2 linked regions of the Coturnix japonica genome follow. The protein of the gene in region 2 purifies or fractionates together with the protein of the main gene of each other region. This does not show direct contact. Links are inferred from orthologs where the notes say so. Each region holds a gene or a part of one and is shown on either strand. Other genes may lie near its edges.

Evidence for each region. Proteins that work in one complex are often made in the same cells at the same time.
Region 1: the proteins of PPM1G (region 2) and LARP7 purify together in Homo sapiens (affinity purification with mass spectrometry; 3 studies listed by BioGRID and IntAct, with this or other methods). This does not show direct contact. The link is inferred for Coturnix japonica from reciprocal best matches to the Homo sapiens genes PPM1G and LARP7.

The regions. Positions count from the first base shown.
Region 1 is NC_029519.1:51,167,294-51,170,941, forward strand, and holds part of LARP7 (la-related protein 7), read right to left. Parts: intron 2,712-3,648; coding exon 2,611-2,711; intron 2,498-2,610; coding exon 2,414-2,497; intron 1-2,413. UniProt on the Homo sapiens protein: RNA-binding protein that specifically binds distinct small nuclear RNA (snRNAs) and regulates their processing and function.
Region 2 is NC_029518.1:95,309,353-95,313,492, reverse strand, and holds the start of PPM1G (protein phosphatase 1G), read right to left. Parts: upstream 2,948-4,140; 5' UTR 2,750-2,947; coding exon 2,630-2,749; intron 1-2,629. Other genes in the region: NRBP1 (nuclear receptor-binding protein), read left to right, coding at 4,047-4,140.

The DNA.
Region 1 (3,648 bases), on a different chromosome or scaffold from region 2:
GTTTTCTCAGTATTGTACTATCATTTTATCAGATGGTTTGCTACATCTAAATAGAATTCTTCACAAAAAAACACATTTGATGTAACATTAAATAAATAATTTACTTCAGTAAATATTCTTGTCAGGAGGTCATAACATTCAGACAGTAAAGACAGTGATCTGAAAATGGATCTCTATACATTCTCCTATCTTAACAAATAATTTGGATTGAATTAAACAGGTTCATCTTCTTCCCTTGACAGAAACACCAAGGCTTCACATGTCACTGCCTTGTTCAAAGATAAACCATCTCTGTCCAGTTAAGATCAGAGTAAGCATAACTCTGTATTGCTTCAAACTCATCAGCATAGAGCACAAGGATTGTGTTTGTTTGTTTCATGTTGAGAACTCAGGTGTCACACAAATTAATTCTTGCAGGTCACTAAAGAGGTACTACTCAAATTGGTTTAAGCTCTACCAGCTTTTTAATACAGCAACACATTTTAGGAGCATGCACACACAATGCCTCAGTTCTTAACAGTTTTCCTTCCCTTATCAAAGAAACATTCTATTGTATCAGTGCCTAAAGGAGACTCATTTGAACACAATTTAAAATCAGTACTCCCAGATACATGCCTGAATTAAGTAACCAATACTTCTCTCTTTTTTTTTTTCCATGACAAGTTACCATTCCTTAAAGGATCACTGCTCCCCCTCATGGCTTAATGAGTTAAATGACTTCGAGAAGTCATTTAACATGGCTCAACAGTCTAGTAATAACAAAATAAGGGGTGGGTATCTGACACAACAGGCTTCTAAAATGTGATAAAACAAACAATATCCCTCTTCCCCTTTCCAAACAAACAAACAAAACCCCACTAAACCAACCAACCAACAACAAAATAACTCTGTACCTTTTTGGGTGGTAAAGAGAGGATATAGAACTGCTACACATTCTCCAAATAAGATTTTTTATGGATTAACTAAATTACAAAACCCAAATCACCTATTTTGGTTTTACAGAAAAAGTTAAAATTAAGGAAAATCCAGTTAACTATGTAGTTAGGTTATATCACTCAATACATTGAAATATTATATGAAGGCCTTCATATTGGGTTCAATTCTATTAAAAATGCACATAACTTTTAAAGAAGTGACAGTACAACCATCAGATCTCTTTCCACTTCCCAACACAAGTGGCTCAACAATACAATAATAGTAGACCTACTCTGAGATCTAAAATATCATACTGAGAAGCAGCATAAGCTATTTTCATTTATGTTAGTGAATCATTGAACTAGTAAGGTTGCCACATTATGCTAGTAGGAATATTTTAAAAAGCAACCTTAACATAAGATTAGCTCACTTAAGTAAATCCTGCAACTAAAAGAATGTTTACTTCATAAATGCTTGCTAGTACCACTGTGACTCCTCTAGCAACATTAATCAGAAAAGCCCAGGGAAATAAGTAAGATATGGATGAAAATACACCATTTCCATGCCAGGATGTGAAACAGCTCTTTGCTCAGCATTTTAAATCAAGACAATGCTAGAAGACAGCATATGACACTAAACCCATTCCTTTCTTGCCCTGGTCTCTGGCTGTGATCACCTACTTTCTCTTTACTTCCTTTACTCTGCACAAGCAGTAATAGTCAGGCCCTGACCTCTCTGTGCTAACAAAAGTATAAATGAACAGGTATTTTCATTCGTTATAAATGAACAGGTCTGTTTAGCCTTGAGAAAAGAAGGCTGAAAGGGGACTTGATCCAGGTTTATAAATACCTGAGGTGTGGGGGCCACAGTGGTGAGGCTGGTCTCTTTTCAGTAGTGCGTGGGGACAGGACTAGGGGTAATGGGATGAAACCACAGCATAGGAAGTTCCACATGATACAGTGAGGGTGACGGAGCACTAGAACAGGCTGCCCAGGGAGGTGGTGGAGTCTCCTTCTCTGGAGATATTCAAGACCCACCTGGACACCTACCTGTGCGACATGATGTAGGGAACCCGCTTTGGCAGGGGGGTTGGACTCAATGATCTCTAGTGGTCCCTTCCAACCCCTACAATTCTGTGATTCTGTATTCCCAAAACAAATTTTTATTGCATTGAAAGTACATATTAAGCCTAATATATGCCTCATCATTACAAGTTTAGTACATCTCTCTCCTTTTGTGCTGTCTTTTTTCTGAGAAAAAATCCTGTTTCCTGGTACTTTGATCTTGTCAAAGAAAATCCAACTTTTAACTGTAGTAAAATATGCGGCTGCTTTGTTGTATGTGCCATTCTTATTACTATAATAATTTGCAATCAAGTTACAGCCTGAAAAATGTACAGTGTTTTTTTTCAGCAAGAATAGAAGTTTAAAGTATTTGTAACAGCTGGAAATAAAGTGCTCTGTGAGACACAAAGCTCACAAAACAGGTACAAACTTACCACATAGACTGTACGACTATCCACATCCTTTGGTTGTTCACCCAGCGGCTGGCGTCTTCTAATCCTAGTTCCTTCTAAATCCAACTAGAATTTAACCAGAAAAAAAAAAAACAACACAGTCAGCAGGACTGACTACTTCAGTTCCACTATAACTACTAATCCAATTGCAGCAAAAGAGTGAAATATTGAACACCCACCTCTACAACAGATGAACTTTTAACTGCTCGTGCTATCAATTTTCCATCAGTAGTCAATTTTTTCATTTTGTTGAAAGAAACAAGCAGTGATATGTCAACATCTGAGAAGGAAAAATAAAAAATAAAAGGAGCACATGATGAAATCAACGCAATTTAGAAAGCCCTACTTGTGTGTAACAAACAGACATCAAGAATGAGCTAGAATTCCCATGAAAAGAATGTGGCAGTCATTACTCCAGCATGCAAACCCACACTGCAGACTGATGAGGATCTACAGAAAGTTGTCACCATCAGAATTCAAGCTTCAAGGAATCCTATATTTAACGTTTTGTGCTCATCTATCAAAGGAATTTCTGTCTTTTACCTTCCAAATGATAATTGTCCTTGAAAAGAAAGGAAGAAAAAAAGCCTTTGTGATGTACTTTTACAGTACAGAAATAATTTGCAGTGAAAACATGTTTCTCCTTGTGTTTAACCTAGCCTTTCCAACACAAAAGAGCCCCAGCTTTTACTTCAGCTGAGATGAGTCATGCTGATAACATCTGAACAGAAAATTATGCAGTACCAGTCTTAGTTAAAAAACTGTTCGAGACATCCAAACTTTAACACCCACAGAAAACATAAAGAATTTTCTTCTATACACTCTTTAAAAAACAACTTGGAAGTTCAATGCAATTGAGGACTCTGACAAGTGATATAGACTTCCCACACAACACTGATGGGCTAATGATTTATACTTCAAGTATGGAATCCTTAAGAAAACAAAGAACACACTTATGGAATCTGAAATGCATTATTTCTTTTGCTGGAAAAGGACTGTCTGTCTCTATAGATACAGCACAACTGATATAATCCATCTGGAGTAACACAATTGAGCAAATATACTGATAGATCATCTTAACCACAAATTTACTATTCTTAAAGCAAAAAGCATAATTGTTAGTGCAGCTAATGTGTAAACTAACTTCTGCTTCAGGATGAGCTGAGTAGTTCCAAAACCAAGCTCTATCTCCTAACCTGAATTCAAATGAACCATGT
Region 2 (4,140 bases):
TGTACATGCTCCCAGACTACAAAGATGACTGATACACAGAGTGCATACACAGGGATCTATCTCCACACGGTCACAGCAGCAGACCTGAAAGAAGACATTGCCCAGACCTTACAGCCAGTGTGACCTCTTTCACCCTGTGAACAAACCAAACATGCATGGGATTGTTTAAACCATGTGATCTTGCCTCCTTGCTGTGGTTGAAGCTCTTCACCTCGAAGCTCACTGTGCTCCAGATGCCCCAAAAGAAAAGCACTTGCTCCAAGTCAGCTGGTTCCACTGCCAGCCAGCCCCAAACAGTTCTAGACATACACTCAGCCACGTTGGATTGCTGCACAGCTGTGCAAGCTGAGGAGCTGTTCTGCTCTCAGCCTCACTTCTCATTGCATTTACAGAAGCCTGAGAGATAGCAAAACCACAATAAAGTAAGTGGGATAAGTCCCTGGTGACTAAGCAGCAGCTTAATTAGAGCAAGTAACGCAAATGGGAGGAAACCCAAAGCTGGCAGCAAAAATGAGCTTTCTACTCCATTTGTACAACTGCAACACGTCCTGATCCTGAACCGGGGCAGCACTGTTGAGGAAGCAAACAGAACTTGAAAGGTCAGTATTCTCCTATCACAGAATGACCTGGGTTGGAAGGGACCTCAAGGATCATGTAGTTCCAACCCCCCTGCCTGGCAGGGCCACCAAACATACACCTTTACTACACCAGGTTGCCCAGGGCCCCATCCAACCTGGCCTTGAACACCTCCAAGGACGGGGCATCCACAACCTCCCTGGGCAGCCTGTTCCAGGGCCTAACCACTCTCCTAGTGAAGAACTTCCCCCTAACATCCAACCTAAATCTTCCCTCTTTTAACTTAAAACCATTTCCCTGTGTCCTGCTATTGTCAGCCCTTTCAAAGAGTTTACTCCCCTCCTACTACTTACGTACGTGCTGCTAAGCTTCACTAACCAAAACCATGCCTAAGATCCTTGGTATTAAGCAAAAGAACACACTTTCTGCTCAGAACTTTCTCCAAGCTTTAAGGAAAAGTACAATTAAATGTGAAAAAAGGGGGAAAAACCCACCCCAAAAAAGCCCCACCAAACACTTGGGAGGTTCAGTTTGTACCACAGCACTCCCCCCATCTCATTTCTTGTGATAACGTAACTGAACTATGTTCACACCGATGGCCTCAGCGTTGCTTTTCCCAGTGGGGAGATATGCCAAAGATGTTGGTTAGGGCACAAAAAACACACAGCTGTGAGCTCTGGCTCTCATCCAATCTCCAGAAAGGTCAACAGCAGTGAGAACAGGCTTCAAAACAGCCAAACTGAGCCCACCTGTGGGAGGACTATGGTGGCCACCTAGTTATAGGCTCTCTGTTATCAACCATCCGAGCCCACATCCTTGTTTCCAGCCTCAGTGCAGCAGAACACTGCCCACATTCAGCCTTTTGCCACAAGCTAATGGCTGGATTTCACCCCAGTGCTCCAGTTATGCCACCATCCCACCCAGGCAAAGGTCAACACAATGGAGATGCTATCGGTCACAGCCGAGTGAGCACAAAAACACCGAGTTCACCTTAGGAACACAGGCACCAATTCTCCTTTCTGCCTCTATCTGCTCTAGAAACCATGCCCTGCAGCTTCAGAAAGCTCTGGTGCACACAGAAAGAAGGACAAACTCAGTCATTGCTTTGCCACCAATGAAACCACTAAAGCATTTCAGAAGCGATCTAGTGTCCCACTGTGACTTGTGGAATCATACAGACAGAACCCAATCCCTCATGCTGTGAATGGACCATCCAAAGGGCTGCAAACAAGAAGGTGCTTCTCCACATTCAGAGATGCACCCCTGAAGCTGCAGGGCCCGGTGTTGGTCCTTCTGTAGCTCCCCTTGTTTGCAAGCTGCCTGTAAAGGAGAATTAACCAGGACGTGAATGGTGTTCTTACACTCACTGGGTTGGAAGGAGCCTTAAACACCATGTAGATGTAAACTGCTGCTGCAGGCTGGGTTGCCAGCCACTACATCACACAGAGTCACACAGAATGACCCGGGTTGGAAGGGACCTCAAGGATCATGTAGTTCCAAGCCCCCTGCCTAGCAGGGCCACCAAACATAAACCCTTACTAGATCAGGTTGCCCAGGAGACCCCATAGACCCCATAGACCCCATAGATCCCCATAGACCCCATAGACCCCATAGATCCCCATAGACCCCATAGATCCCCATAGAGACCCCATAGATCAGGTTGCCCAGGGCCCCGTCCAACCTGGCCTTGAACACCTCCAAGGACAGGGCATCCACAACCTCCCTGTGCAGCCCGTTCCAGGGCCTAACCACTCTCCTAGTAAAGAAGCAGCACCAGCCCAGTGCCCACCCGTGGCCCTTAACACCTCTAGCGATGGGGCAGCGCTGCCAGAGCCTTAATACCCTCTGAATGACGATCTTCCAAGAGACCTCACACAAACCTCTATCAGTTTAAAGCCGTTCCCTCCGGTCCTATCGCTTTAGACCTGGGTACAGAGTTGCTAACCCTCCTTAGCCCTTATCTCCGGGCTCCCACCGGGCGGGGTCCCCCCGTAGAACGGCACAGGGCCGGGGGTGGCACAAGGGGATGGGATGGAGGGAGGACCCCGCTTACCTCCATGGAGACGCGCCAACCCTGCATAGCGCTAAAACCGAAGTGCAGCGGGCGCGGCCCGAGCCCGGCCCCATCCCCGGAGCTCTTCACCGTGTTGGGCTGCGAGAGATACGCGCCCATGGCGGAGGCCGCCGCGGTGGCAGCCCTCGGCGCGGCGGCCTTGCGCTGAGGGGCGGCTGGGGGAGGCGGACGCTGAGGAGGCCGGAGCGGAACGGAACGGGCGGCACCTGATGGGGGAGACGAGAGGGCGGCAAAGCGGCGAGGGCGGCGGAACCACCCACCAACGAGCCGCCCAGCGGAAGTAGCGCGGCCGGAAGTGAGGGCTAGAGAGTCGCCACGGGGAGGTTGGGGGAGGGGGGAGCTCAACCCGCGCGGCCGAGGCACGGGGACCGGAAGTGAGGAGCATAGAGTTGGGGGGCGCCTAGAGCGGCGCGGCCGGGGAAGCGCTCCGGCTCGGAGGACTCAGGCCTCTCGGAGGTCCATAGGCCGCAGCCCTGGGACTGCCGGCCGTCACACCGCCCGGCTGCAGCAGCCCCTCGGAGGCGGTGCTTCGTTTGTACGTGCATTGAGAACTGAAAACAGATAACACTATAGCGTTAACGGGATCCCACACGACATCACTCCACAAATAAAACCACTCCTTCGCCTTAACGGCCCACCACAGGGCCTCTGCCCGCTGCACTCTCTCCCCCGCCTTATATACCCCAGGCCCCCGCTGCCGACCAATCAGCGGACGCCGGCATCCCGCTGCTGCGCTCTGATTGGCCGCCGAGCCCCCCGCTCCCGCCCCATCCTGCCACACAGGTGCGCGGGCGCCCTCTATCGCGCCTCGTACCTCGAGCTCCTCCCACCGACCAATCAGAGCAGGACGAAGGGAAGCGTCCGCGTTCTGATTGGCTGGCGAGCGGTCGGCCCCGCCTCTGACGGCGCGTTACGCAGCGCGGCGGTTGGGGCGGCCGTCGGCGGAGCGTTCGGGGACCGGGAGGTGCCGGCTGGGCCCGGCAGGAGCGGCCCGTGCTCGGGAATAGCGGCAATAGCGGCCTTCAACAGCTGGGACAGCATCGGGGACCTGCTGTAGGTTGGGGGAGCGGCTTTAGTCGGCTGGTACGGCCCGCTCCGGCCTCCTGGGCCTGGCTGTGTGTGAGGGCCTGTGTGGGGGTGAGGGCCCGGCTGTGAGTGTGGGCCTGCTGGGTGGGTGAGGGCCTGCTATGTGGGTGAGGGCCTGCTGTGAGCGAGGCCTGGCTGTGGGTGAGGGCCTGGCTGTGGGTGAGGGCCTGGCTGTGTGCGGGTGAGGGCCTGCTGGGTGGGTGAGGGCCTGCTCTGAGCGAGGCCTGCTGTGTGTGTGGGTGAGGGCCTGCTGGGTGGATGAGGGCCTGCTTTGAGCTCGGCCTGCCTCCCGCAGGTGCTTCGACTCATCATGTCAGAGGGCGAGGCCAAACAGGCGCCGAGCGGCGGCTCCGACCCGAAACCGGAATCCGCTTCGTCAGGACCGGGGATGACCTCGGTGTCTG